Oryctolagus cuniculus: one gene and its partners. The protein of the gene in region 6 interacts with the protein of the main gene of each other region in a pairwise test. Links are inferred from orthologs where the notes say so. Each region holds a gene or a part of one and is shown on either strand. Other genes may lie near its edges.

What was found.
Region 1: the proteins of RABAC1 (region 6) and SNX15 interact in binary tests that used the Homo sapiens proteins (3 or more experiments, as listed by UniProt). The two-hybrid records come from large-scale screens. The link is inferred for Oryctolagus cuniculus from reciprocal best matches to the Homo sapiens genes RABAC1 and SNX15.
Region 2: the proteins of RABAC1 (region 6) and RAB33A interact in binary tests that used the Homo sapiens proteins (3 or more experiments, as listed by UniProt). The two-hybrid records come from large-scale screens. The link is inferred for Oryctolagus cuniculus from reciprocal best matches to the Homo sapiens genes RABAC1 and RAB33A.
Region 3: the proteins of RABAC1 (region 6) and NDRG4 interact in binary tests that used the Homo sapiens proteins (3 or more experiments, as listed by UniProt). The two-hybrid records come from large-scale screens. The link is inferred for Oryctolagus cuniculus from reciprocal best matches to the Homo sapiens genes RABAC1 and NDRG4.
Region 4: the proteins of RABAC1 (region 6) and DUSP12 interact in binary tests that used the Homo sapiens proteins (3 or more experiments, as listed by UniProt). The two-hybrid records come from large-scale screens. The link is inferred for Oryctolagus cuniculus from reciprocal best matches to the Homo sapiens genes RABAC1 and DUSP12.
Region 5: the proteins of RABAC1 (region 6) and SNX10 interact in binary tests that used the Homo sapiens proteins (3 or more experiments, as listed by UniProt). The two-hybrid records come from large-scale screens. The link is inferred for Oryctolagus cuniculus from reciprocal best matches to the Homo sapiens genes RABAC1 and SNX10.
Region 7: the proteins of RABAC1 (region 6) and LNX1 interact in a two-hybrid assay, tested with the Homo sapiens proteins (2 studies listed by BioGRID and IntAct). The link is inferred for Oryctolagus cuniculus from reciprocal best matches to the Homo sapiens genes RABAC1 and LNX1.

The regions. Positions count from the first base shown.
Region 1 is NC_091432.1:6,508,681-6,512,412, forward strand, and holds the end of SNX15 (sorting nexin-15), read right to left. Parts: coding exon 3,497-3,732; intron 1,609-3,496; coding exon 1,360-1,608; intron 1,145-1,359; coding exon 1,038-1,144; 3' UTR 664-1,037; downstream 1-663. Other genes in the region: SAC3D1 (SAC3 domain-containing protein 1), read right to left, coding at 1-39. UniProt on the Homo sapiens protein: May be involved in several stages of intracellular trafficking. Overexpression of SNX15 disrupts the normal trafficking of proteins from the plasma membrane to recycling endosomes or the TGN.
Region 2 is NC_091453.1:107,847,943-107,852,281, reverse strand, and holds the start of RAB33A (ras-related protein Rab-33A), read right to left. Parts: upstream 2,943-4,339; 5' UTR 2,132-2,942; coding exon 1,874-2,131; intron 1-1,873.
Region 3 is NC_091449.1:41,762,656-41,766,953, reverse strand, and holds the start of NDRG4 (protein NDRG4), read right to left. Parts: upstream 2,834-4,298; 5' UTR 2,716-2,833; coding exon 2,679-2,715; intron 1-2,678. UniProt on the Homo sapiens protein: Contributes to the maintenance of intracerebral BDNF levels within the normal range, which is necessary for the preservation of spatial learning and the resistance to neuronal cell death caused by ischemic stress.
Region 4 is NC_091438.1:37,037,717-37,041,550, reverse strand, and holds part of DUSP12 (dual specificity protein phosphatase 12), read left to right. Parts: intron 1-2,119; coding exon 2,120-2,281; 3' UTR 2,282-3,834. UniProt on the Homo sapiens protein: Dual specificity phosphatase; can dephosphorylate both phosphotyrosine and phosphoserine or phosphothreonine residues. Can dephosphorylate glucokinase (in vitro).
Region 5 is NC_091447.1:18,011,289-18,015,643, reverse strand, and holds the start of SNX10 (sorting nexin-10), read right to left. Parts: upstream 2,884-4,355; 5' UTR 2,717-2,883; intron 1-2,716. UniProt on the Homo sapiens protein: Probable phosphoinositide-binding protein involved in protein sorting and membrane trafficking in endosomes. Plays a role in cilium biogenesis through regulation of the transport and the localization of proteins to the cilium.
Region 6 is NC_091449.1:12,583,749-12,587,829, forward strand, and holds RABAC1 (prenylated Rab acceptor protein 1), read right to left. Parts: upstream 2,509-4,081; 5' UTR 2,368-2,508; coding exon 2,312-2,367; intron 2,039-2,311; coding exon 1,826-2,038; intron 1,722-1,825; coding exon 1,624-1,721; intron 961-1,623; coding exon 859-960; intron 781-858; coding exon 683-780; 3' UTR 562-682; downstream 1-561. UniProt on the Homo sapiens protein: General Rab protein regulator required for vesicle formation from the Golgi complex. May control vesicle docking and fusion by mediating the action of Rab GTPases to the SNARE complexes.
Region 7 is NC_091439.1:110,430,539-110,434,372, forward strand, and holds the end of LNX1 (E3 ubiquitin-protein ligase LNX), read left to right. Parts: intron 1-2,662; coding exon 2,663-2,821; intron 2,822-3,198; coding exon 3,199-3,334; 3' UTR 3,335-3,764; downstream 3,765-3,834.

The DNA of each region.
Region 1 (3,732 bases), on a different chromosome or scaffold from region 6:
GTCCGGGCACGTACCCAGCGGCAGCTCGCAGGCGGGCATGGTGGGCCGCGGGCAGCAGGGGCGCGCTCAGCACCGCGGCCGCCCCTCGCCCGTTCCGGGAGACCTTACGCCGAGGCCGGCGTGGGCTCGGCAGCAGGGGGCGTGCCGAGCCGGGGACCCGCTTCCCCGCCCGCCCGTCGGGCCACCGCTTCCGGCTCTGCCCACCACCGTCCCCTCACCCGACCCGGCGACAGCACCGCGACGCGGCCCACGACGCCCCACCGCCCACCGTTCCGCTAGCTCCAGCAGCACTAACGCCCTGCTCCCGGCGCGGCGCTCAGCCTCGGCACTCCCAGCATGCACCGGTCTGTTGACACGCCCGCAACCAATCGCTTCGCAGGAGGGGCGGCACCGGGCCACGCCCCCAAGCGCGGCCGGCACGAGGCCACGCCCCCTCCGCGCTCCCAGTTGTCTTCCCCTGTCAAACGGATAGCCCCGCCTTCGGCCCCTCCCCATCATCCCTTCCACCCAATGAGGGCGCTGTGCCGGCCTTGCTCCACTGTTGCCATGGAGACGGCCCTCCCCCACTAGGTAGCGCCGGGGCCCGAATGCCCTCCCTGCGAGGCGGGCAGTGGATTTGCCCTTGGCGCCACCCAACAGCTAGGTGACCCCGCAGGTGCAGCCTTGGGTCCCGCCAAGTTTTATTTATGTACGATTACGTTGCATGTAATCTTCACCTGCCTGTTATTTTTCCCCCAACCATTAAAAAGTGGAAAAAAATCTCAGTATTTAGCACGAGATGTGTGGCTCCGGGCTGTGGGTGGCAGAGCCCGGGGCCAGACGGGTGACCTGACAGTCCAGTGGTCGGATGGGCTCACAAGCGCGAGCCCCTGGGCCCAAGCAGACCCCCACACTCCGGCAGCTCAGAATTCATCCTTTCGTTCTCATTCTTGGTGCAGCCGCATACAGAAACGGCCCGGTGGGAGGGCCAGGCCCTGGGGGAGGGGCCGGGGAGGCTGGCAGTGCTGGAGCTGGAGTCCCGGGGAGGGTGCGCCCCCTCAGGGCGGGAGCTGGGTCAGGTGCAGGTGCAGGATCTCCTCCGCCCGCTTCAGGTACTCAGCCGCCTTCCTCTTCACACCTTCCTGGCGGGCAGGGGATGGGTCACCTGGGGGCGACACAGTGGCTCCTCTGAGCGGCCCTGGCCGAGCCCCTTACGGTTCCCAGAGCGACCCGCTGAGCCTTGCTGCCTCCCCTTGGACCCAGCGCCTATCTCCCATTGCACAGATGAGAACAGGGAGGCCCCGAGAGAGCCAGCCGCCCAGGGGCGAGGACTCCTGACGTCTGCGCTGCCCTCGGCCGGGACCCCAGGCCGCCCCTTACCAGGCACCCCCTGCAGCAGGATGTGCACGCCGTCCCGATAGCCCTGCAGCGCGGCCGGGTAGGCGCCCGCCTTCTCGTCCCGCAGGGCCTGGGCGATGAGTTCCGTGGCCTGGCTCACGTAGGCGGGTACGGGCTTTCCCTGCGGGTCCTCCCCCTGCTGCCCTCCTGGCTCCCAGGGTTCCTGCGGCTGCGTGGCCTCCGCCTCGGTCGCTGCCAGCTCGCCTGCGCTGGTGGGGCTGCAGCCTGCACCTAAATTTATGCAGTCAGAGAGGGGAGAGGGGGTATTCAGGCCAGGAGGCCCTTCCCTTCCCGGGGCCTGCTGCCCACCCCACACCAGGGCGCCGCCCTGTCCCCAGGGGAGGGGAGCAGTCCCGGGCGGGCACAGGGCAGAGCAGCCGGGTCTGTTTAACGGGTGCGGCTCCTGCGCTCGCCCGCAGCCTTGCTGTCCTAACTGGCTCTTTAGGAGCACGCGGACCGTGGTCTCCAAGCTCTGCGTCCCTGGTCCTGCTTGCCGCTGCCTCTGGCTGACCTGAAACCCAGCGTTTTAACGGAAGGCGGCTGGGCCGACGGCAGGAGGCCGGGGACGGAAAAGCCCGAAGTCCCCGCATTGGAGCGGCGGGTTCAGTGACTTGCAGGGCTCTGCGAGGTCTCACAGTTTTAGCCCAAAGGTGAGGACGGGGGTGAGGGGTCTCCTCACTGTCCCGAGTGAGGGGCTCAGCACGCCTGCAGGACTGGCGCCGAGGTGGTCGGACCCCGTCCCTGCAGCGTTCACGCGAGGCCGCGAGGCTGGCGGGTTGGGTGAGAAGGCCTTTGAGCCCTGGCCCTACCTCTGCCGGCCGGTGGGTCTCCCCTGCCTTCAGGATCTGGACCCTGAGCCGGCCGGGACCCCCACCTGCGGCTTCCAACCGCAGGGCCCGGACTCTGCAAACCTCGCTGGAAGGTGGCGGGCGCGAGTCCAGCTGGTGAACGGCCTCCTCCCCACATTCTGTACCTGCTGGCCCCACCCTGAGCCCCGGCATGACGGGGGCTCCGAGGCTGCCTGCTGCCTCGGGCAGCACCACAGAGGGGCCCGCAGGCTGCTGGCAGCTGGTGTGGCCTGGATGCGGTCACAGGGCCCCCCCAGAGGTTCCTGTGCTGGATGCTTGGTCCCCATGGCAGCACCGGGGGGTGGAGCCTGGAGAGGTGGGGGCCGGGCTGGTGTTGCGGCACAGCAGGTGCAGGCTGCTGTTTGGGAGGCCGGCACCCGTGTGAGCGCCTGGTCAAGTCCTGGCTCGCAGTCCAGCTCCCTGCTCATGTGCCCAGGGAGACAGCGAATGATGGCCCGAGCGCGTGCACCCTGCTACCACGGGGGCGGCCCGGATGGAGCTCCTGGCTCCTGGCTTTGGCCTGGCTCAGCCTTGGCTGTCGCGGCCAGTTGCGGAGTGAACCAGCGGATGGAAGACCTCTCTCTCTCTCTCTGTGTAACTCTGACTTTCAAATAAATACACAGAGTTAGACAGCGGTGTGTGGGGATTGGGTGCTGGGGGCACGGACCCCAGAGGCGATGAAGGCCGGCCTTACAGAGTGGGCCCTGAGCTGCTCTCACTTCCTGTCTCACCATGGGATCGTCTTCATTTATTTTTTAAAGATTGATTTATTTATTTGAAAGGCAGACTTACAGAGAGAGAGAAAGAGAGACAGAGAGTGAGTGTGTCCATCCGCTGGTTCATTCCCCAAATGGTCACAACATCCGGGGCTCTGCCAGGCCGAAGCCAGGAGCCAGGAGCTTCTTCCAGGTCTCCCACACAGGTGCAGGGGCCCAAGCACTTGGGCCATCCTCCACTGCTTTCCCAGGCCACAGCAGGAAGCTGGATTGGAAGTGGAGCAGCCGGGACTCGAACCGATGCCCATATGGGATGTCGGCATGGCAAGGTGGCTTTCCCGTTATGCCTGTCGGTCATACCATAACACCATCTGCCACAAGGCCCTGACTGGGGCCAAACACACGGGGCCGCCCTGTCTCGGACCTGCAGCTGCCGACACCGTGAGTGAAATCGGCTCGCTTCCTCAGTGCCCACCTTAGGCCCCTGTTACAGCCCCAGAAAGTGAACCAGCCTCGGCCCCAGACACCCCGGCTCTGGCCGTCCCCATCCGTTACCTTCCTTGGAGAAGGGGTCGAAGAGGGCGAGGTCGGCCTCGGTGAGTGGGCCCCGGGTGGGGGTCCCCGACGTCTCCTGGGGGCTGCCACAGCTGAAGAGGAGATCCAGGGCCTCCTGGGCGGGGCTGGACGGCGCAGGGTCTGCTGAGCAGAGACCACGGGGCACAGGGACAGCTGCGCTGAGCTGCGGCCCAGCTCTGCCAGGGAGCCGCCCCTCACCAAGTCCCTCAAGGGTT
Region 2 (4,339 bases), on a different chromosome or scaffold from region 6:
GCTGAGCTCTGTGTCCAGTGAGTCACACTGTCACAGGCGCTGCCCTCTGGGAACAAGTCTGGAATCCTTGGCAGAGACTGTAACATCCAGTTAGGCTAAGTACAGGGGTGTTGCAAGGGAAGGAATGGCTTAAAATCTCCCCAAGGCCGTTGGGTGGTGACTCCCCTCTACCTCTCATAGCCCACTTCCAGCTTCCTCTTCTCCCCCCTCATCCTGCCTCCTCCCTTCTCCCCTAGACACCGGAACAGTTTTTCCTCCCTCTAAATTTCAGATGGCTCACTGTAATGCTTGATTTTTAAACAAATGATAGCATTAAACATTAAGGTTTTTAAGGATTTAGGAGCCCATCCAGGAACATATTTCTACCTTAAACACACACACACAAAAGATTCATTTCAGCAATTCCAAAATCTTACAGCCTTATATTAAAGAACCTAGACATACTAGAGGAAATCCCAACCAAGCAAACATGAAGACAAGAGCTTCGGGGAAGGCAGACCAATACCTACCTTGACTTTAAAAAGAAAAGTAGCCATTCCCTTGCACCATGCAAAGAGCAAAATAGTTCAGAATTTCCAAATCATGCTCTCTCTCTTCCTGGCCATAAGGTGCTCCCTTATCAGTCTATACAGATGCCCATCTGCAGCCATTTTAAATGCATTCATTTTAATAGTCAAGGAGTCTTGCACAGTTTGGGGTGTTTCCCTCTGCTCAGTTGCTACTCGGCCCTTCTCGCTACATCACACAGAAGAAGGGCTTTGGGGCCACTTTGGCTCTTCCACCTACACCGTGACCCTGTCTAGAGTTCAAGCACAGACTCAGGAGAAAGCCAACTTAAAGTCTAGACGAGTTGGTCTTCAGTGTCCCCGGTGTCTTTTCAGGGGCTTCCTTCCCCATCATCTTTCCCCCTTCTTCCCTGACATGTGAACTTGTCCTTGCCGTGTCCTCTCCTGTGGCCCCCTGCACATTCATATCTGCCTGTTCTATTGAGTGTCTACCTTTTCTGAAGCAAAGGTGAACGCAAAAAGGTCAGACAAGAATATTCCTATTTAGCCCATTTTAGAAACTAATGGGGGACAAGGACCAAGGCACTTCCCTTGGCCCTCAATAAGTTGCCCTGCATTTTCCACAAAGACTTCCTGAAGACGAAACCAACAGAAAGAGTAGAGAGTAGTGGGCAGTCCGTTCATGACGTACTGCAGACAAGTAGAGAGAAAATCATTGCAGAGGGACTGCTCCAAAGGCCACATTTTGCCTATTATGGAGGGCCAGCAGGTGACCCTGTCTCAATTTCTTTAAAAGGACTCCTGGCTTTGTGCCAGAATCAGCCTCCACTCCACCCCCCCCCCATCCCTGCCAACTCAGTCCTAATAAACTATAAACTGCAATTTAAAATAAAGCATGCATTTCCACAACCTTTCTAATGTCTCAGGGCTTAGCCTTTTTTTTTTTTTTTTTTTTTGCAGCCTATTGGCACTCAGGAGGTAGAAGAAACCTCAAGATGTATAAAGTGCTTTGGGATCCATCTGACAGACCAGGATAGAGAAATGCCCCACGCCTCCCTGGGCCCACAGGTGCCGCTGCTTGCGTTCAGTGTAAAGGATGAGATCAAACACGCTTTTCCTGACAGGAGCTGTCAGGCAGGGGGAAAGGGTGAGAATGCAACCACTCCTGTTTGCCCTAAAAAAAAAAAAAATGGATGAAGTGGAGACAGAGCCACTGTTAAGGGAGAGGATGAGGAGGGGCCTGGGGTCTTGGGCTCAGCACACCGTGACACAGCCCCAGGCTGGACATTTACAGCCCCTAGAGCCTTGCGTGAGGCGGGGGCCCCCTCCCAGATCCCTCCCTTCCCGGACCTGACCAGCTGGATCACCTTGATCTTCTCGCCCTCGATTTCAACCGTCTTCTCCCTGAAGTCCACCCCGATGGTGGCTTCAGTCTTGTCCGGGAAGGTTCCCCCGCAGAAGCGGAAGGTCAGGCAGGTCTTGCCCACGTTGGAGTCCCCAATCACGATGATTTTGAAGATGCGAATCTGCACGTACTGATCCAGCGACGAGTCCAGCTCCAGGGATGCCAGGCCAGCAGCAGAGGCGGGCTGCAGGCTCCCATGGCCCAGGATGGGCTGCGCCATCTCCCCGGGACCGGACCGGGGCCCCAACCCCCCTCGAGGGCTCCACACAAAGAAAACGGTGGCCACGTTAGTGCGCTCGAGGCGAGCGAGCTTTGTGCGTGTGTGTGCGTGTCTGTGAGTGTGTGTCCGCCCGTGTGTGCGTGCGCCGGCAACGTGTGCGCGCGCGCGCGTGAAGGGGGTGCCTCACACCCCAGGTCTCCCTCCTCCTCCAGCGCACCCTCCTTGCAGCTCCGAGGCACCAACACAAAAGCCAAGGAGAGGAGGAGATGGAGAGGGGTGGGCGAGAGGAGAGCCTTCCCCGTCTGCCGGCGCGTGCCCTCAGATGGGACGCTGGGGCGCGCGACCGTGGGACCCTCCCCTGCCTGGACTCCAGGGACACACCAAGGGAGGAAGCCTAAGGAGGCAAGGGAGAGGTGGGGAGAGCAGCACACACTACCCCGAGATAGACTTCCTTTCTCCTTGCGCCCATTTATGTTGTAGGTTTCCGGCTCCCAGCGCCACCCTCCCCCGCTTTGCTCGGAGCGCACGGGATCAGCCAGCAGGGAAGCACAGCTAGGGAGGACAAAGAGCACTGCACCCTAAGGCATCATTGGGGCACTTGGGCCTCGGAGCCACACGTCTCGGCGGGGTGGGGTGGGGGCGGAGACACCTCTTTCGCCTCAGAAGCAGCAGGCAGCTGAGCCGCGCCTCGGCGCTCCCTGCTCCCCGCCCAGCCTTGGAATAAAGAGATGCTCTGTCTTATTGAGTAAGCAGGTGCACTTGCAGGTCCCGAGGAGCTGGGGAGGGTGCTACCAAGACACGCAGTGGGTTGTGGGGAGCCCCGTGCAGCTGAGAGGAGGAAGCCGGGGGGCGAGGGTGTGCGTGTGTAGAGGGTGTCACTGTGTCTGTCACAGATTTGCCAGATGTAGGGGGTGCGTACCAGGCGCCAACCTCCCCTCATCACACCACGAGCACCCATCCTCTGAATGTTCAGGAGAGCAGCTCTCATTGGCTGTCGCGGTCGGTTGTGTTTGGCTGGCCAATGGGGAAGGCCTGCCGGCGGGAGAGGGCCATATAGAGGGTAGGAGAAGGGGGGAAGCTAGCAGTGGCAGCTCCAGCGAAAGAGGACTTTATTTCTGGGGCTGACCACTGCAGGCCCGAGGAGGAGGGATCTTGAGACATGGCATAAACCCCAAAATGTCTTCTATTCCCCAGCCCTCCGCTTAACCAGAAGTCCTTCCAGAATAATGGAGTTTCAAAGGGAGTTGGGACTCTAAGCGGGTTCACCCCCCTGCAGCTGAATGTAGAACCAAGTGGTTGGGTCTAATTTGCCAGAAGCCTAGATTATGCTTGGAAGATGATAAATGAACACAACTTTCTTACGTTATTAGAGGGCACCATCCCTCTCTCCAAAATGATTTGAAGGTTCAGATTTTGTTTGAAATCAACTTTACTGAGATACAATTTACATACAATACAGTGAACCCATTTCTGTTCGTTTTTAATACTTCATCCCCCCCAACATATTTCATAGGCAATAGCAGAGCACCGGCACATGAGTTATTGCTAATGCCATCAGTCAAGGGTTCATGTGGCACAGGTGAGCTTCCATCTTGTTTGTGTGTGAAGCAGAGCTGCAGGAAGACGCAAATGTGCCTAAATCCATTCCCATTAAAAGAAAACCAAGTCAGGGTTTCAGTGAATATATCTGTAAGTAAGCTGGAATGGGACTACTCAACCAAGTCCAAGTTACTCAAAACAAGATCTCTAGCTAATAGGCCTATTAGCTGAGTTAGCAGATATATTTACAGCTAACCCTTATAGCATATATGTAGGTCAAACATTTTTTCTATTTCAAATTATTTAATTTTTAATTTTTCTTTAAAATTTAAGCTATAGAAACTTCAAATATATATATATACCAATTTGATCACCCATTTCTAAAATCTGAGATTATACTATTCAACATTAAAACCATTAAAGAAGGCTTTAATCTTAGTTGGCTAATCCAAAGTCATCATTCTGAATATCAATTATAATACCATGTATGGATCATCACTGTAGAGTACTTTGGTTTTCTGATTCTGATATCTAGATAATAGTTTGCTGGGTCATTCTCCTCTGTGGTTTTGTAAATTGTAAACTTACTTTATTTGTAAGGGAGGGGGGGGAGAGAGAGAATCTTCCAATACTTCCCAAATGCCCACAATAGCCAGACAGCCATGGCTG
Region 3 (4,298 bases), about 29 Mb from region 6:
TGTGTGCATATGTAACTCTACCTTTCAAATTAATACATCCTTTTTTTTTAATGGTCTTAATAAACAGGAGATTGTGAAAACCAGAGAGAACCAGACAAATCAGAGTTTTTAAAAGCTGCTTCAGTTAAACAATTCTGTAAGGCTGACGTGCAGGCAGGGAGTCCCAGGTCCTCTACAAAATTATCCTGAAAGGGCTGGCAATGTAGTGTAGTGGATTAAGCCACTGCCTGCAATGCCAGCATCTCATATGGGCACTAGTTCGAGTCCCCGCTGTTCCACTTTTTTAAAGATTTTTACTTATTTATTTGACAGGTAGAGTTACAGACAGTGAGAGAGACAGAGGGAAAGGTCTTTCCGTTGGTTCACCCCCCAAATGGCTGCCACAGCCAGAGCTGCGCCAATCTGAAGCCAGGAGCCAGGTGCTTCTCCCAGGTCTCCCATGCGGGTGCAGGGCCCAAGTGGATGGCTTGGCTTGAGTGGATGGCTCCTGGCAAAGCTGTGCTTGGCCCTGCCGGTCCCACCCAGGGTGCGGGACCTGGGCCATCCTCCACTGCCCTCCCGGGCCACAGCAGAGAGCTGGACTGGAAGAGGAGCAACCGGGACAAAATCCGGCACCCCAACCGGGACTAGAACCCGGGGTGCCAGTGCTGTAGGCAGAGGATTAACAAAGTGAGCCACGGCGCCAGCCCCACCTGCTCCACTTTCAATCTAGCTCCCTGCTAATGCACCTGGGAAGACAGCAGAAGATGGCCCAAGTCCTTTAGCCCATTACACCACAATACCAGCCCCCAAATAAATAATTTTTTTTTTAAAAAAGTTATCCTGGAGACACTGCTGATGACAGGCTATGCCAGCCTGGGCTCAGTCAACAGTTATTAAGCACTTGCTGTATGCCACTACAATCAATCAACAGCCACCCTGTGACCTGCTTACCTTCCCCAGTGGGTCAAATTCTCACAGCTGCATGTGAGCAAGGTTAAGGGGCTGGGGGCAGATCCAGTATCCCCGGTGGCTCCTCAGCCAGGACACATGGAGTTCTCCATTTTGGGGGCAGCCAAGACTGCGCAATCAGAGGGGAAATAAAGCCAGAGAGGCCTGTTCCCAGCAGGTGCGTGGCCTGTGCTATCTCAGCAAACCGCACACCACCTCTTAGAAGGCGGTGAGAACGCCACCTTTAAGAGCAGAAGACTGAGGCCAGAGAGGCGAGCTAACCTTGGCGAGTGAGTGGTGGGAACTGAAATCCAAGACTGGGAGATGGAGAGGCAGACAGGAGGGCTGCAGAGATGGTCGAACAGCCACAGAGGGGGTGCGCTGAGGCCCGGGGTTAGAGGTCAGAGGGAGCCTGGGACCGACAGTGACAGGCAGGGTCCTGTTTCCGCCTGGCCAGCCGCTTAGCAAGTCTGGTGGAGCAGGTGAGCCCATCTGACAAGGGAGGAGAGGTGCTGCACCCAGGGCCCTGAAGCTCGGGTCCCCCACGTGCCCACCGTGAGCATTTCTCCTCTAGGTCTTGTGGAAGCAGGGAGGGGAGGCGGAAAGGACCCAGAAGTTCCGTCTCCATGGGGCTTCACAGCCTGCCCCGGGCAGGGGTTAAGTCCAGCACCTGGGCCGTTCTCCGGGGCAGGTGGGCTGGGCCTGCCCTAGCCAGAGAGCTCGCCAAGGCAAAGTTGATGAGGGATGACAGATGCTGGCTGTGGCTAAGCGGGCTCTGAGCCCACACTTCCCAGGCCCTGCCTGCCCTGGGAATGCACAGCCTAGAGCCTGCCCCTTGCCCTGCCCCCACTATCTCCAGCTCCACATCCCTCCCAGCTCAAGCCTCTCGCTCACACCAGGGCAGCCGCCTGGACGCCTCAAGTCTATGACCCCACCCCTGTGTCACACACAGAGTCCCTCTTCAAGGCCACCCCTGCTCTCACCCGCCGGCTCCCCCCCCCCCCCCCCCCGCCCTAGCTCAGGCTCCAACCTCTTCTCCAGTGCCCTGACTGCTCCCTGCCCCTCCCTGCCTGCAACCCGGCTCTAGTGCTGTAAGGTCCTCCAGGGCAGAAACCGCACTTCCAGGTGCCAGACACATTTACTGAAAGCCACATGCGTTCCTGCAGCACATGGACGGGGAACTCCCGAGTGTCCCCCTCCCCCCTCCCAGTCACCCCTCCCCGGGGGCGCACACGGAAGCCGGGGTGTTACTGTCCAGCCCCCCCGCCCAGTTCAGGGCGGCCAGTCCCAATCGCTTCACCCGGCACAGCCCAACGCTCCTGTGGGTCTCCAGCATAGCATCTGGTCACTTCCCCAGAGGGCCCCCCAAGACACCAGGATCCCAGGCCACTTGGCCTCTATAACGGTCAAGAAACTTCTCCCCCTACAGAAAGGACCGTCACAGGGAGCAGACACGAGACGCCCGCGGCACGGGTGCTGCCCGGAGTCCAGGGCGCTCCTTTCTTGGGGAGTGAGCCGCCCCGATTGGAGGGCAGGGGATCCGAGCTCCTTTCCCTGAGCCGGGCAGGGACCCCAGAGGCCGTCTCGCTCACTCTCAGCAGAGCCGGGCGGGCTCCGCCCAGGAGCAGGTAGAGCACAAGCTGGGAATTAGTTGGCATCCGCACCCCTCGGGCTCGCACCCGAGCGCCCCAACCCCCGGGTACCGCGGTCGGAGCCCGCTCCGACCCGGAAAGCGGCGACGGCGATACCTGTAAGCAGTTCCAGCCGGTGCCCCAGCACCCTCATCGCGGCGCGGCACGGCCCGGGCTGTGGCGTCGGGGAGCGCGCAAGGCGAGCGCCGAGCGGCAGCAGCGGCGGCAGCAGCAGCAGCAGGAGCGCTCTCGCCGCCCCCCACGCCGCGCTCCCCCGCCAAACCCGTGCGAAAAAATCCACCAATTGCACGGCCGCGCACCCCCAAAAGGCGCCCGCCGCCACCTGGTCCGGACGAACTCCGGGAGGCGGGGAGAGCGCGCGGGGAGGGGGCCGGCGACACCGCGGGAGGGGCCCTGCGCCCGCCTGGTGAACAAAGAGGCCCCGCCGCCCCCGGCCGTCGCGGGGCGCGGTTGGTGGCGCAGGGGGTTCCCGTGCCCCGCGGGGAAGGCAAGGAGGGAGCGCCGGGGCTGGGTGGGGACGAGGGGGCTGTCCTCGCTTAGCAGAAAGGCGGCTCGGCCGGGAAGGTGCGGCGCTCCTTCGGGGTCGTGCGCGGAGCCTGGGGCTGCGCGCGCCACAACCAGGGAGCGGCGACCTGGGGGCGCCGCAGACTCACCGAGGTGATGCGGGAGACACAGACGCGCAGGCGGGGAGCCGGGCCACGGCACCGCCGCCGCCAACGCGCGGTGCAGGCGCCTGCAGCCGGGAGCCCCTGCGCCGCTGCCGGGAGCGGAGGCCGGGGCTGGGGGCGGCGCGCCGCGGGGGCGGGCCCACGTGGGTGTGGGGGGGGGCGTGGGCACTCAGTCGCGCGGGGCCAGGCCTGGCTGCTGCGCCTAGGATCGCACTAGGTGCCCACTGCGCTCCTGCCGCGGCGGGAGCTGAGCCAGGCGCCACGACCCGCAGATCCGGCGGAGACCCCTTGCGGGTCCGCACCCCCTTCCACGTCTCACCTCTGCGGGTCCCGGCCTCTCGGAGCGCAGGCCTGTTGTCAGCGACGTCGGGTTCCCGGGGGAGGGGCGGCCCCTGCCTGGGGCTTTTTTTAGACTCCCGAAGGCCTGGAAGACCGGGCAGAGCCTGGTGTTCCGGGGCTCTCTGGGGCGTCGTCCGGTTTGCGGAGCCCAGGGTTTCCTTGGGAGAACGCGTGCGGGAGTGGATGGCTCCTAGCAAAGCTGTGCTTGGCCCTGCCGGTCCCGCCCGGGGTGCGGCGAGGTACCCTCTCCCCCGCGTTCGTCCCGCGGAGTCCCGGGTTTTCCTCCGCCCGACGCAGCGGCTCCCACCTGCTGCCCCTCCCCCACCCCTAAAAGGGAGGGCCTTGGCCTTGGACCGAGGCCCACACGCCGGGGAGCGAGGGAATCTGATGCCCTGAAAGCGTTTGTTTGGGCAAGACACGCGTCCTGCAGACCCAGGTTCCCTTCGGGCTCCAGCACGTCCTGGACGCCACGCTTTTGGGTGCAGGAGGCGTGCGCAGGGCCAAGTCATCTTGGGGGTCCAGGGGCGCTGCCCCTGCCTTCAGGGGGCCTCTGTGCAGGCTGGTTTGCGGTGAGGTCCTGGCTTCCCCTCAGCTCCAGGTGGCCGGGAACCAACCCACGCACCGGCTGGGGACGGGCTTCGGTGGCCCCAGATGGAGCGCACGTTCCTGCTCCTGGCGCAGCACGGAAACCAGGGAGGCACAGCCAGCT
Region 4 (3,834 bases), on a different chromosome or scaffold from region 6:
ACAGTGATTGTTTCAGATTTTGGTGAACTGTAATATTGCTCTTTGGTGACTTATGCTTTTGGCTTGCTGCTTTCATTTAACCTGGAAAATATACAAACACATGATATTTTTGTGAAAGATTCTAAACCCTATTTGTGCGTATTTCTTTGTATACATATTTGAGTTTTCTTATATGGTATACACTTAGAAGTAAATTGTTGGCTTTATGACTGTATACATTTTAAATATTAATCATATTCCAGGCTGACATTCAAAATGCTCATACAAATTTAGTTTTCACCAACAGTGAATATCTACCCATTTCCTCATACCCTGGGCAAGTTATATATAAAACTGGTGAAGTTTTGTCAGTCTGTATCATGAAAATATTAATCTTACGTTTTTCATGACTACAGCCGAGGATGACATCTTTGCATTTACCAGCCATCTATAGTTGCTTTTTATTTATTTATTTATTCGAAAGTCAGAGTTACACAGAGAGAGGAGAGGCAGAGAGAGTGAGAGAGAGAGAAAGAGTGGTCTTCTATCTGATGGTTCACTCCCCAGATGGCCGCAATGGCCGGAACTGCACCTATCCGAAGCCAGGAGCCAGGAGCTTCTTCCTGGTCTCCCACTCGGGCACAGGGGCCCAAGGACTTGGGCCATCTTCCACTGCTTTCCCAGGCCACAGAGCTGCATCAGAAGAGGAATAGCTGGGACTAGAATTGATGCCCATATGGGATGCCGGGGCTCCAGGCCAGGGCGTTAACCCGCTCAGCCACAGCGCCGATCCCCCCCCGCCCCATCTATAGTTTCTTGTTGTGTAAACTGCTTTACCATCCCTGGCCTATTTTCTATGAATTTTCTTACTCTTACTGATTTGTAGGAGCTGTGTATATATTCTAGATGTAGATGCTTCATTTAATAAATAGAATTATTTTCCCTAGTCTATTACTTATCTCAAATTTTTGGTATATTTTGTAATAAAATTTAAGATACTGTGTAGTCTATTTTTTCATTTGTGGTTTCTGGGCTTTAAATCTGGACTTCCTGTAGTTTAATATTAAAAGCAAAAATTCCTACTTCCTACCATGTACAAATTATAGAACTAAACCTAAAAAATGTGATAACTGCACTGAAAGAAAATACAGTTTACTAAAGCTTTGATTTATCTGTTTTACTGGAATATCAGTTGATTGTTTTTAAGTCACTAGGAATCTGACTTACATGCTATCATTATCAGTAATAAAACATGAGAATCCTAATAATCTTTTCCATTCTTTATTCATGTTGTAGTTTTTTTTTTTTTGAGATTTTATTTATTTATTTGAGATGTAGAGTTACTGACGGAGAGGGAGAGATAGAGAGAAAGGTCTTCCATCTGCTGGTTCATTCCCCAAATAGCCACAGCAATCGGAGCTGGGCTGATCAAAAGCCAGGAGCTTCTTCCAGATCTCCCATGCAGGTGCAGGGGCCTGAGTACTTGGGCCATCTTCTATTGCTTTCCCAGACCATAGCAGAAAGCTGGATTGGAAGAGGAGCAGCTGGAACTAGAACCAAAAGAGAGAGATCTTTCATCCATTTGTCTACTCCCCAAATACCTGCAACAGCTAGGGCTGGGCCAAGACCCCAGAATCCAATTTGGATCTCCCACATGAGTGGCAGGGACCCAATTACTTGAGCCATCACCTGCCTTCTAGGGTACCCATAACAGGAAGCTGGAATTGGAAGCAGAGGTGGCACTCAAAACAGGCACTCTGATGAGATGTGGCTGTTCTAAGTGATGTCTTAACCACTGTGTCAGGTGCCTGCCCCTACACGTTGATTTAAAAACCTAGTATGTATGCCACATTCTTGAAGCCATCCTTGAGTTTCAAATGTCACCTTTCTCCCCTAAAGCTGGGATCCATCTGTTCTTCCTCTAAGCTGCCCGAGTACAACATACTTCTTAGGCAGTAATTGTAGTCCACCATCTATAATACAGCAAATTCCTCATGTATTTAATGTCACCAATTAGAGTACAAACTCCTTGAAGATAGGGGCCATGTTTGCCTGTGCTTATATCCTATATTGCCAAAGAAAATTATTTGTTTTGTATAAAAGTGAATAAATGAAGTAATACATTGGCTTTTTATTTCAGCTGCTTTGTCCAAAATGCAGTGCCAAATTGGGTTCCTTCAATTGGTATGGTGAACAGTGCTCATGTGGAAGATGGATAACACCTGCTTTCCAAATACATAAGAACAGAGTGGATGAAAAGAAAATGCTGCCAGTTTTGGGATCACAAACAAGAAAAATATGAACTTGTGACATCTGCTATCTTGGAAGGAACCTTGCTGAAGATACATGCTGCCCCGGCTTTCAGTTACTCACTGCAGGTTGTCTAGTTTGTAGGCCATCAACATTTCAATTGCAGTGTGAAAGGGAAAAATCCCATGAAGTAACCTAGAAACTGCCCTGTTATTAGGTTATTACGTGATGTAAGTAGAATACATAGCAATCAAAGTTTTTTAGTCATATAAATTTTATATGATAGTAAAATCTTTTATGATACTAACACTTCATTTGTTTCATGTTTTTAAAAGTCATGATTTATTTATTTAATTTGAAAGGCAGACAGAGACAAAGATCTCCCATCTGTTGGTTTATTCTCCAGATGCTTGCAGTTTCTGGAACTGGGCCAAGCCTAATCCAAGAGCCAGAAACTCAATCCATGTCTCCCATATTAGTGGCAGAATCGTCACCTGCTGCTTTAGCCTACATTTGCAGGAAGATGGAATAGGAAGTGGAGCTAGAACTCAAACTGAGGCGCTCTGATACGGGATGGGGGAGGTCTCCTATGGCATCTTAACCACTATGCCAAATGCTGCCCTGAAACTTAATTCCAGTTTTCCATGAGTTTTTTGAAGTACCCTCGTATTTTGAAATTTTGCTTTCTCTCTTTTAAGGGAAATTAGTAAGCCTATTTATGTCTAGATTTTTCTTGTAAATGTAAAAGAAAGGCTATTAGTAAAACAGAATATGTTTTTCTTGTTCAGAAATTCCAATTATCTGCAGGTTTTTTTTTTTTTTTTCTTAAGTTTATTTATTTGAAAGGCAGAGTAAAACAGTGAAAGATAGAGATCTTCCATCTGCTGGTTCATGCTTCAAATGCCTATAGCAGCTGAGGCTGGGCCAGGATGAAGCAAGGTGCCTGAAACTCCATCTGGGTCTCCAGCATGGGTAGCAGGGACCCAAGGACTTGAACCAGCACGTGCTGTGCATGAGCAGGAAGCTGGAAGTAGAAGCATAGCCAGGACTCATCCAGGCATTGATACAGGATGGGTAGCTTAACCTACTGTGCCACCGTGCCCACTCCAATAAACATTTTATCTACATTTTTAGAAAAGTGTGTTTGAGATACCTCTTAAAGCAATCTACATAAAGAAATACTTTAATGTTAGATGTGTCTTAATAATCAAGATTAATGTGGAATTACATGTCAGTTACTCTTTTAGTCTAATACATTTGAGTATTGGAAAAAGTAATAAATCTAGATCAACTTTGTAACCTGATTTCTGGAAACTAGAATTGTACTCACTATTAATAGGGCAAATTGGACCTAATTTGGTATTTTGAACATATACATGAAATCAGAATTAGCTAATAAAGAGAAATATGTGTCTGTATTGTAAAAACTAAAATGGGAATAATTTTTCAATGTAAAATAAGGTGTAAATAATGAACTTCTTAGTATCTAGAATAGGGACTGGCCCTGTTGCATGGTGGGTAAAGCTGCCACCTGCAGGGCTGACATCCTGGCTGCTCTACTTCTGATCCAACTCCCTAATAATGCGCCTGGGAAAGCAGCAGAAG
Region 5 (4,355 bases), on a different chromosome or scaffold from region 6:
GGATGGCTTGCTATCCCCAGATGTAAAAAGCAGACATGATAGGATCTGCACCACAAGCTTGTTTGAGGCTTAGGGAACCAGACACATAAAATCCCTTCACAGTGCCTGGCACACAGTAAGTCCTCATTAAGGTAGGCTGTTGGAGTTAACAATTAAGGAGGAGAGGGGTTGTCATATATTGTTTTTGTTTTTGTTTTTTTACAGGCAGAGTTAGAGAGAGAGAAACAGAAAGGTCTTCCTTCCGTTGGTTCAGCCCCAAATGGCTGCTACGGCTGGTGTGCTGCGCTGATCCGAAGCCAGGAGCCAGGTGCTTCTCCTGGTCTCCCATGGCGTGCAGGGCCCAAGCACTTGGGCCGTCCTCCACTGCCTTCCCGGGCCACAGCAGAGAGCTGGACTGGAAGAGGGGCAACCGGGACAGAATCCGGTGCCCTGAGCAGGACTAGAACCCGGGGTACTGGTGCCGCAGACGGAGGATTAGCCTGGTGAGCTGTGGTGCCAGCCGATTGTTATCAATTTTTAAAAAACATTTTTTTTAGACGGAGCTCCAATCTGCTGGCCTACTCCCCAAAACCTGCTACAGCTCCAGGAAAAAGACAAGAACTGGTTCTTCCACACGGGCGGCAGGAACCCGGTCCCATGAGCCATCACTGCTACCTTCCAGTGTCTATGAGAGGGAAGGTGACAGGCTCGGAACCCAGGCGCTCCAACACCCAGGCGCTCCAACACCCAGCCACGAGGCCTAAACTAATAAAGGTCTCATGACCTATCAGGCCTCTTTTTTCCCTTGGAATATCAAGCTTTGGCCAGGAGGCGGCCTTGTGTTCCATGAGACATAGGCAGCACAGAACCTCAGGCTTCAGGAACTCGTTTGAATTCACTAAACACGTGCCTACCCCACCTCCCTTTTACTTCTGAATAAAAGACAACGGAAACTGGAAGCTGCCAACAACACCTCAGCTAGCAAACGACTGTGCTAAGGCTTCCACTGGGACGGTCTGACACCAGAAGTCGTATCTGGTCTCTGCATGAGGACACCCGCTTGTTGAACAGGCCTTGGAGAACCTAGAGCTAACTCACACCTCCCCGATGACCAAGAGAAAGATGTTTGGAGACAACAACCGAAAATCTGGGGAATTACCACGGAGTGCACCGCGAACCCAGCCAAAAGCCCTCCTTGGCCACTCTTGGAAACCAAAGCCTGAGTAGACTGGGCCCTGTCTGTAGCCAGTTCTCAGCCTTTCCCCAGCTGCTCCACCTCAGCCCGGACACCAGAGGGAAAGAAGCTCCTCCCTCCCCCATGGCTTAAGCAGCAAAGGAATCCCCAGAGGGAGAGCAGGGCTAGGCCAGGGCTGGGAAAGATCAGCAAGGGGCTCCACAGTCAAGCTCACTGCTGTGGCCCACGGTGCCCTATGCTGCTGCCCTACAGGCTGCCTGCAGAAGGAGGTGTGCATTTCTGCTTTTATGAACCTAATGGAGCAGACCACACCTCATGACCGAGGGGCCAGATGAGGCTCGGCCCAGGGCCCTGGGGAGGAGGCAGCTGCATCGGGTCACCCCTACCCCTCCCCGCCCCTGAGGGGTGCTGGGGCCTGAGCAAGACCCACTGTCCACACCAGGCCCTCCCCAGGCCCCAGGGGAGCCAGCAGGAGAAGGCAGTGGCCTGACTGCTGCCCAGGGCACTCAGCTCCGGGCTCCAGGCTCACAGGAGACCTTAGTGCCTCACCTCTACTTCAAGAGCATTGAATTCCCTCTTTCTTCAAAACAGCCTCCAGTCACTGTCAAGTCTGCCATGGCTTTCAGAAACAGGAAGACCCAGCTGCACTCACCTCCCCTCACCCCCATCCTCCTGGCCAGGAGCCCCAGCCCACCTGGGCCTCCCCAAGCACAGCCCACTGCCCAGGGAGGGGGGGGAACCCTCCCACCCCACCCTCACCCCAGCTCTGCAGTGGGGGCAGAGCTTGCACCTGCGCTGGGCACCTCCCTCCCCGCACCTCGGTTTCCCCGGTGATGGACACCACGCGGGAGCCTCCTTGTCGCTCTGAACGTCTGCGCCCATTTTCCTGCGCGTCCCCGCGTCTGGGGAGCAGCCGCTCCTCCCTTCCAGCAGACACGTGGCTGTGCAGTGCGCCCACCCTCGGCGACCCCCGTGCCTCTGGGAGAGTCTGCCGCCACCACAGCTCAGCGGCCGCCTGTGCCTCCTCCTGTCACTGGCCCTGCAGCTCTGTCCCTGTGGATTTTCCCCGAGGCCGCTTCCCTCATCCCACAGCCCCGAAAAGACCCTGCCTGCCGCTCCCCACTCCCAGTGTCCATGCCGGCTGCCAGGAATTTCCAGTGCCCACCCAACCCCGCTGCTGCTGCGAGGGGCCAGCACTTTTTCTGAAACCCAGCTTTGGCCTCTGCCTCACCCTCTCCCGGGGGTCATTCCAGGCAAACCGCAAGATCAACAGGGCCCAGCCCCCTCCCCAGCGAAGGAGCCCCGCATCACCTCCTCCCCCGCCGCGCCCGCACCCGCGCCCCGCCCCGCACACCTCGGCCAGAGGAGGCAACGCTCAAAATCAAAATCGGGGAGCCCGCGCCTCTCTCAGCCGGCAGGGCCGACACCTGCTCGCAGGGAGGGTCCCGCGAACTCGGAAGGGAACGGGAGGCCGGCTTGGGCCAGGGCGCCGTCCCCACCGCGACCGTGCGGGTAGAGCTGGGCAGGTCGGCCGTCACTTACCCGCTGTCCTGGAGCAGCGCAGGCCGGGGGCGGACGGCGGGCGCCGACTTTGCTGACTCAAAGGCGTGGCGGCGAGCGCCCAGGAACGCACGCGAGCGCAGCCCCGCGCTCCCCGCGCACGTAACGGCCCCGCGCCCGCGCCCAGCGCCCGCCGCCCGTGTGCGGCCGCTCGGCCTCCTGCTTCCGCCTCCCGCGCCGCCCGCCCAGGGGCCGTCTCAGCCCGCCGGCTTCTGACCCGTAGGCGGACCCCGGCGGGCTGCGGCGGCGCCGGGAGCCCGGAGCCCGCGACCTTCGTCCCCACAGCCGCTGCTCATCCGCCCCCACCCCCCAAGCGCTGGAGCTGACGCTGTGGGAGCAGCAGCGCGGGACTGGGCCCTGGAAGCCAGCTGGAGCCGGGACCCAGGCCCCTCAGCTGTGTGCGCGCTGCGGGGAGGGGCGGGCGGGTGCTGGCAGGGGGCCTCGGGGTTGGGGGGGCGTGCGTGTGGGCTGCAAATGCCGACTTTAACGTTTAAAATGTCTGATATTTAAGAGACGGGCTATGGAGAGTGCCAAAGGGCCTGAATCAGGAACGTATTTCAGAAATGACACCTTGGGCGGGGTCTCCCCCAATCCCTGCCCCTGAGGTGGGGGAGGAAAGGACACCATGGTCAGCGCCGCCTCATCTTTAAGTTCCCCAGTGGCCCTGGCTGTGCACACCTTGGGGGCCCCGCACAGTCCGCTGGAAAGTCCGCGCCGTCTGTGTGTCCACAGTGAGCGTCCATTCGCTCAGGGTGTCCCCAGATGATCAGTCTGAGGTCAGCGGTGCGCAGAGGAAAACTTTATTTCCCCTGGGAGAAGTGAAGGAGACAGCAGGAGCCCCCGAAATAACCGACCCCCGTGAGGGGCAGATTCCCGGGCTTCTCCTCACGGGCGTCCCCATGTCGGGAAATGGCGCAGTCTCTCCCCGGGTGGAGAATTTAATCCTGGAAGCAAAGCTCAGCTCGGGTCTGCAGACTCGGACTCAGAGCAGCATCTTGCAGTTTTGTGGCTCCTTGTTCGTGGCGGCCCTGCCCTCCCAGTTCACTGTAACAAACTAAGCTCCCCTGGTAGCTTGGGAAAACAGGCTCAAGGCGGCTGGTGCTCTCTGCCCCAGTCCCAGTTCTGCCCTCCTCCCCTAAATCCTACATTCTTGGCCACAAAATGCTCCCTGAGACCTTTCACTCCCATTCTGGAGGGAGGGGAAAGGCAGGAAGTGGTGCTTTTGTAACTACTTCCTGCTGAAGCTGGCCACGGCCCAGGCTGGAGAAGTGAGACTCCCTCAAGATGAAGCAAGGGCTTGTGTCGTGGGGAGTAGCCCTGGTGGCCCGCAGTGGCGGCCAGGCGTTTAGAAGCATCCTTAGCTGACATTCAGTGTGGGGTCCTTTGGGGGAACAGTTTGGGGTCTGACCTGGGCTCTCCAGGTAGCCATCAGAGGGTTCAGGTGAAGTGAGGCGCGCTCTGCTCTCAGGAGTTCCATGTTGTAAAGTTCCATGTTGTAATTCAGGAGAAGAATGAGTGGTTAGGAGCCGGGAGTGCTGCTGCCAGATGGGGCTGTCTGCTCCCCACAGCTCAGTTTGCAACCTTTGAGTGGAGGCCATCTCCCAGGAAATGGGGGTGGGGT
Region 6 (4,081 bases):
ACAGGAGACCCCGGGGGTACATGCCTGTGACATCACAGGAGACCCTGTGCTGAGTGACGTCACAGGAGACCGGGGGGCCGCGTGCCAGTGACGTCACAGGAGACCGGGGGGCCGCGTACCAGTGACGTCACAGGAGACCCTGCGGCTGTGTGCTGAGTGACGTCACAGGAGACCTGGGGGGCTGCGTGCCAGTGACGTCACAGGAGACCCGGGGGGCCACGTGCCATGACGTTACAGGAGACCCTGGGGGCCGTGTGCCAGTGACGTCACAGGAGACCCCGGGGGTACATGCCTGTGACATCACAGGAGACCCTGGGGGCCCTGTGCTGAGTGACGTCACAGGAGACTGGGGGGCCCCATGCCAGTGACGTCACAGGAGACCCGGGGGACCGTGTGCCAGTGATGTCACAGGAGACCCTGGGGCCGTGTGCCAGTGACATCACAGGAGACCCGGGGGGCCGCGTGCCAGTGACATCACAGGAGACCCTGGGGGCCGCGTGCCAAGTGATGTCACAGGAGACCCGGGGGCCCTGTGCTGAGTGACGTCACAGGAGACCTGGGGGCCGCGTGCTGTGTGACAGCGTCACAGCTTTATTTCAGGAAGCCACCCCCGACATGGGGCACGTGCTGGCGGTGGGCAGTGGGCAAGGGTGGGCGCCCGGCTGGGGGCCTCGCTGACGCCTCACACGGGCTCCAGGGGCTCCATGTGCAGCTCCTCCGCGTCCACAGCCTCCACCTTGTGGAAGGCGGCGTGGGAGCCGATGACCACCAGGGTGGCCCCTGAGGGAAACGGGCGGCTCAGGGCGGGTCCCCTGGCCCGGCCCCGCCGCCACCCCGCCACCCCGGCCCGGCACTCACCCAGCACCCAGAAGACAGCGGAGCCGGCCCCAGCCAGCCAGAAGAAGGGGAAGGAGACGCCTCCGGCCAGGGCGTACTGATGGGCTGGGCTCACCTCACGGCCTGCGGGCAGACGGCATGGGCAGCTGCCTCCACCCGGCCCCCCAAAGCGGCCCCTGCCCCCTGCCCGGCCCCCAGCGTCCCCACCGCCTCCCTCAGCTCCCAGCTCAGCTTCCAACGGCGAGTCTCAGCCGGTGGAGGACACAAATGGACAGAACCTCACACGGCCGAGACGCCACCTGCAGCCTGGCGAGGCCAGGGTGTGGCTGGGCTTCCTCAGGGACCCCTCCCCGCTCTGCCAACCCCAGCCCCCCTGCCCTTGGCTCCCTGATCCCGACCACCCCCTGGCTGCCCCCCAACCTGCCAGTTCTGCTCGGTAGCAGGAGGCACGGCCTGGACTCCCCTCCCCAAGCAGCCCCAAGACCTCCCCGGTCCCACCCCGGGGCGCAGACAGGTGGGGAGGGCCAGGCCGGTGCAAGGGCGCCACCTGGTGTCCCGTGTGGGGACGTGCAGCGATGCTTCCCGCAGAGGCGGGGAGGGCGCGGCGGCTGGGGCAGGGCTGGGGCTTAGCCAGGGGGTGAGCGAGGGCGACGCGGGGGCTGAGGCTGGGACACCAGCTGTGTCAGGCCTGCGGGAATCCCGAGAGCCAGGCTCGGGTGAGGCCCCAGGGACGGGGACTTGGGGGCCGAGGTCTGCGAGCCGAGAGGCCAGGAGGTGACTTCTCACCGAAGAGCACGAGCTTGGACTGCAACGTGCGCAGATACAGGATGTAGCAGGCGCCGAAGAAGACGGCCAGGGCCACCAGCAGCATGGGCGACGTCACCCTGGAGGAGGAGGGCAGGGAGGCGGAGGTCAGGAGGTCAGGGCCCGGGCCCGGCCGCAGCGGGCGGAGGCCAGGGCGCCCTGGGCGTGGGGCGGGCCGGCTCACACGCAGTACAGGATGAGGCCCAGGAACACGAACACGTAGTTGCTCTGGTAGTACTCCACATTGCGGACCAGGCGCTGGCACAGCTCGCCCAGGTTGCGGGGCCGCGAGAAACGCCGCTGGTCCACGAAGGCGCCCCACGGCCGGATGGTCGCCCGGCGCCGCTCCAGCCACTCGCGGCCGGCGCCGGACGGAATGAGCTTCGGCAGCAGGGTCCTGGAGGGCGGGGGGGGGGGGCAGCGGTGAGCCGGGACCCCCGACCCCTCCCAGACACCAGCGGAGGGGGGAGGGGAGGGCCGGCGCCTGGGCCCTGGGGCGGGCCGGGGCGGGGCAGGGAGGGGCTTCCCCTGGATCCCGGGGGAGGAAGGGGCCGGGGGACCGGACTCGCGTCCTAGAAAGACGTTTCGGTGTCCGGGGGCCAGGACCCCCGCGACTCGAGGGGAGAGGAGGCCGGGGCCGGCACCCCCGGGTTACAGCGGGCTCGCTCACGTGGCGCTCAGCCCTTCGGCCTCGGCCTCCTTCTGCTGGTCCTTCGGGGCCGCCATGTCTACGTTGTGAAGGGCAGAACCGCTGTAACTGGCCCCGGGCCCTGCAGACCCCTCGGGCCCCGCCGGTGCCAGGCCTCACCCAGCGGCGCGGACGTGGCTCCGCGTCGGCGCCGCTGGGGGAGGAGCTCTGCTCCCCGAGCATTGTGGGAGTTGTAGTCCCGACGGGCGACTGGGCGCCATGACGGCAGTCTGGCTCGCAGGGCATTGTGGGAGTTGTGGTCTCTCTGGGCATTGTGGGAGTTGTAGTTTCAGGAGTGGGAGGTGGGGAGTTAAGTGTTGTGTATTCTCCCTCGGAGGGTCCAGTGGGGACCGTGCGGGGCTGTCGTCCTGACTCTAGAAGGCATAAAAATGTACCCTGGCGGGCTTGATTAAACACTGAATCCTAGGCCTCGGGCCCAAATGTTCCGACTCAGCCAGTCTGGACTGCAGGCCATGAAATCCGCCTTTGTATCAAGTCCCCCGCGGGCCGCATACCGAGCCCCAGGGTTGCAGGGAATTTGTGGGCGTCCGTTCCGTCCTCGAGAGGTGGGGAGCGGGCCCCTCCCAGGGATCCCGGGGTGAGTAGGGTAACACTCGCGACAGCCACGAGGGGTTGAGGAGAGGGTTGAGAATTTTACTTTATGTTTTACATTTATTTCAGAGAGAGACACACACACACAACTCCCATCCACTCAACCCAGGTCTCCCACACGGGACCCAGGAGCCCGATCATCTCCCAGGGCCCCAGAACCCGAACCAGACCCAGTCACTCCGAGGTGGGACACAGGTGCCTTAACCACTAGGCTAATGGCCCTCTCCCCTAAGAGAACTTGTTGTTCTTGTTGCTATTTAGTATTTTATTTACTTACAGAGTTACAGAGAGAGAGAGAGAGAGAGAGAGATCATCCGTCCACTTGTTCACTCCCACATGGCCACAACGGCCAGAGCTGTGCCGATCCAAAGCCAGGAGCCAGGAGCTTCCTCTGGGTCTCCCACGTGGGTGCAGGGGCCCAAGCAGTTGAGCCATCCTCTGCTGCCTTCCCAGGCCACAGCAGAGAGCTGGGTCAGAAGAGGAGCAGCCAGGACTTGAACCAGCACCCGTAGGGGATGCCGACATCACAGGTAGAGGCTTAGCCCACCATGCCACAGCGCTGGCCCCTAAACAGAAGTGTGTGTGTGTGTGTGTGTGTGTGTGTGTGTTTAAAGGAGCTGTCAGCTCCAGCATTGTGGCACAGCAGGTTAAGCCACCGCCTGTGACGCTAGCATCCCATATGGGCAATGGTTTGAGTCCCAACTGCTCCACTTCCCATCCAGCTCCCTGTCAATATGCTTAGGAAAACAGTGGAAGAGGCCTCAAGGAGCCGGCGCTGTGGCGTAGCGGGTAAAGTCTCCACCTGCACTGCCGGCATCCCATATGGGCGCCAGTTCGAGACCTGGCTGCTCCACTCTTGATCCAGCTCTCTGCTGTGGCCTGGGAAAGCAGTGGAGGATGGCCCAGGTCCTTGGGCCCCTGCACCCACGTGGGGGACTGGAGGAAGATCCTGGCTCCTGGCTTTGGATCAGTGCAGCTCCGGTCATTGTGGCCAATTGGGGAGTGAACCAGCGGACGGAAGACCTCTCTCTCTCTCTCTCTCTCTCTCTCTCTCTCTCTCTCTGCCTCTCCTCTCTCTGTGTACTCTGACTTTAAAATAAAACAATAATAATACAAGCAGAGGGAGTTTTCACACCTAAT
Region 7 (3,834 bases), on a different chromosome or scaffold from region 6:
AAATTATAAAGCACTAATTTTAGAAATTGAAAAAGGCACAAGAAAATAAAATAAAAAAAAAAACCTCCTTTGTTCATGGGTTGGAAAAAGTGTTTAAAATGTCGGTTATGCAAAGCAATTTTACAGATAAAATGCAATCCTCACTCTTGCAGTAGCACTCCTCATAGAAAAAAAACCCTATAATTCTCTCAGAAAAACAATAGACTGAAGAGCCAAGGCAAGCTTCAGCAGCAACACTGGAAGCATTACGATGCCTGATTTCAAGACAGATGACAGAGCTACAGGAACCAGAGAGCACGGTACTGGCGTGAGAACACACACACAAATGGGACAGAACAAACGACAGCCTCTGCTATTAATGGTGCTGGGACAACTGGATATCCACATGCAGAGAGCTGAAACTTGACACATGCACACAACCCACCTCTCAATCACTATAAAAATCAACTCAAAATGGACCAAAGAACTGAAAGTATTAAGTTACTGGAAGAAAACATGGTGAAAGTATTTCAAGACTACAATATAAGCAATGCTTTTGGAGGTAAAATTCCAAATGCTCGGGCAAAATTAAGGCAAAGACAGACAAGTGGGATTCCATCAAACGAGGAAGCTCTGCGCAGCAAAGGAAACAATCAGTGTTGTGAGGACACAACCGACAGAATGACAAAGAATATTTGCAAACTCTTCATCTGACAAAGGAGTAATATCCAGAATACGTAAGGAACAAAAAACTTAACAAAAAAAGTGCAATTTAAAAATAGGCAAAGGATCTAAAGACAGTTCTCAAAAAAGTAAACACAGATGGCCCACAAATAGAGGAAAAAGTGCATGGTCATTAGCAGGGAAATGCACATCCTAACAATGAGGTGTCGTATCGCCCCAGCTAGAACAGCTATGAATGCTAGCAGTATGCAGACGAGAGGGAACTGGGACACACTGCTGCAAACTCGCAATCTTCAAGCAGTGCAGGAGGCTCCAGCCATCTGGCTGCTGACATGTAGCTGAAGACAATGACATCGGCACGTGAGATACTGCACTCCCACGCTGACTGCAGCACTATTCACAACAGCAGACACGAATCAACCTCGCTGCCCAGAGACGGGTGAATGGTTTAGAAAATGCATGGTGTATGCACAATGGAGTATTATTCAGCCACAAAAAGGGGAAGTTGTGTCATCTGCAGAAAAACGCACAGAACCAGGGGCTACTAAGTGAAGTACCCCATGTCCTCCCCAACACGTAGAAGCTAAGCGGAGGAGTTGACCCGGATGTAAGGTCATGGTTCCGAGGCTGTGACCTGGGAAGGTCGGTGACAGGTAGCAGAACAGTGACGGAGGATGCAGTTCTGGTGTTGCTCAGGAGCACGACTGCAGGGACCAGGAACTACGAGGAAGGAGGCCCAGAGGGAGCAATGAGGGTATGTCACAAGGGTGACAAACAGGGACAGTTTCAGGTCCTACTCCATGAACCTGTTGTGTCTGCAGACTAGGAGCATGACCTGGGAAAGGCATCTTCTAATGACTTTCCAATCCCAGACGCTGGGCACAGGGTCTCCCACAGGGAATGTCATTGCCTTGGTGTCGGGGGCTAGGCACGGACCTGCTCCGTGCACAAGCACTCAGTAAGCTATTAAGTACAACATGGTATCTATCCCACACACCACGGCTTCTACAGGCTGAAGTCATCAACTGACATCAAAGTTTCTTGTGAAATAGCAGGTATTTGACAGTAAGTCGTTTTCTCATTTAATGACATTCATGTTTTTCAGCTATCGAATTATTATAAATGATATGTAGGACAACAGATACAAAGCACTACATTTTAAAGGTATTCATTAAACCTCAGAGGTGGTTTTACTTCAACTGAGTATTGGCAACGTCGTGAAAAAAGTCACATTACCCTGATTAGCAAGATCGGTAACAACTGTAACGAGCAACTTCACTTATTCACAAGAGACTTTTATTGGTTTTCAAAAAGCAATGTTATTTTAAGGTACAGTTTATAAACAGTAGTCATATCCTGATTTTTGCCAACATGAAAACGTGTTCCTCTCAGGAGTTCATGGACTACAGCACACATGTGGCAGACACAGGAGTCCTGGCGAGCAGGGAGCCAGTGACCAGGGAGAGTAGCAGAATGTGCCCAGCCTCCCTCCCTGGTTGGCTGAGGCCTCCACCCACCCACCCACCCACCCACCGCAGGGCTGTGCGCTCTCCTCCCATCCCTCCAGCAGCTGGTTTCTCAGCGTCTGCAGTTCCGCTTTCCTGAAGGTGCAATCCCACTCACATTCCGCCTGCACACTTCTCAGTCACCTACCAAACATGCAGAGCCCGATATGCACTAGAGCTTTCCGAAGGTCAAGTACACGCTAACAAAGTCATTCATTACACCTACATTTTCTTGATTTTAACGATTTGTTCGAAAGATTTCTGCCTTCATTAAAAATTTATACTCAGGTAAATAAAAATATGATGGTCATAATGTTTGCTGTAGCCAGCTGTAGCATAGAGGTTGCTGAGCTAGAAACACACTTGGGCGGGAGCTGTCCAGTGTTATTTAGCCTTAAGAAAATGCCAGCAGAAGGAATGGGATACAGGCACAATACTCCGTCTCCAGCCGTTACACTGAACTGTGCATATCCTCCAATTCTGTTCTATCCCAGGTACTTGTATCACTGCAAAGATGTCGCACTACGCAGAAACGCGGCAGGCAGCCTGGGCTTCTGCATCGTGGGAGGGTATGAAGAACACAGCGGAAACAAGCCTTTCTTTATCAAATCCGTGGTGGAAGGCACACCAGCGTACAACGATGGAAGGATCAGGTAATAAAGACAACTGCTGCACAGAGAGCTTACATTCAGGTCCTTTGCTTCAGACACACAATACTGGCCCCATCTGAAATAAGGGCTCTTCCTTTTGAGGGGAAGGGTGGGCAAGAAAATAAAACACTTGCACAGCATTTAACATAAAACACCCCGATGATCGATCGCACGTGCTCTCGGCCCTACACTGCAGGTCGCTCTACCTTGAGCACCCCTTTTAACACAAGCGGAATGACTAGCATGCTTAAAGAATCTAAGGGGGGGGGAGACCCTTAAGTAATCAAAACCAAACAAATCTAGCAGAAATGAGGCCACCAAAATCAATCTGCATAAACTTCAGCTAAGAAACCAAACATCCCTCCTGCTGCCTTGTTCAGGTGCGGTGACATTCTCCTCGCAGTCAACGGCAGGAGCACAGCAGGAATGACGCACGCCTGCTTGGCTCGAATGCTGAAGGAACTCAAAGGAAGAATCACCCTCACTCTGGTGTCCTGGCCTGGCACATTCTTGTAGCATCAATAACGGGTCAGAGAACATGACACACGGGCTAAGCTGGAACAATGTATTTATCTTGTCAATTTTTATAGTGAACGAAAACTTTGTGAAAATGTCAGAGAAGGCCTAATCTAATAAAGCCAATTGCACCTCAGAAAATAGGACTCTCAAAAAATAAAAACTACTACAGAATGGTCTGATCTAGGATGCAGCACTGCACTGTACTCCTTCATTTGTATTTTGTGCTCAATAAAACGCTCTCGAGCACCTGAAATGGTTTGTTAGGGCCCACCGAATTCAAATCATCAACTCAAATGCTGGTTCAGGCTGAGATCAGCAAAGGGTACGTTACGGGCATTTTTAATTTAAAGCAAGAGGATTTTGAAAAATGCATTCATTGCTAAAAACATTCAGCAAATGAGAAATAAATATTTTTCCACAAACCATAGCCGCCTTTTGTATGTGATGCTAATTCTAAGTTTCCTTCTGTCAGCACTATTTCAAAGAGCCGGCAATCT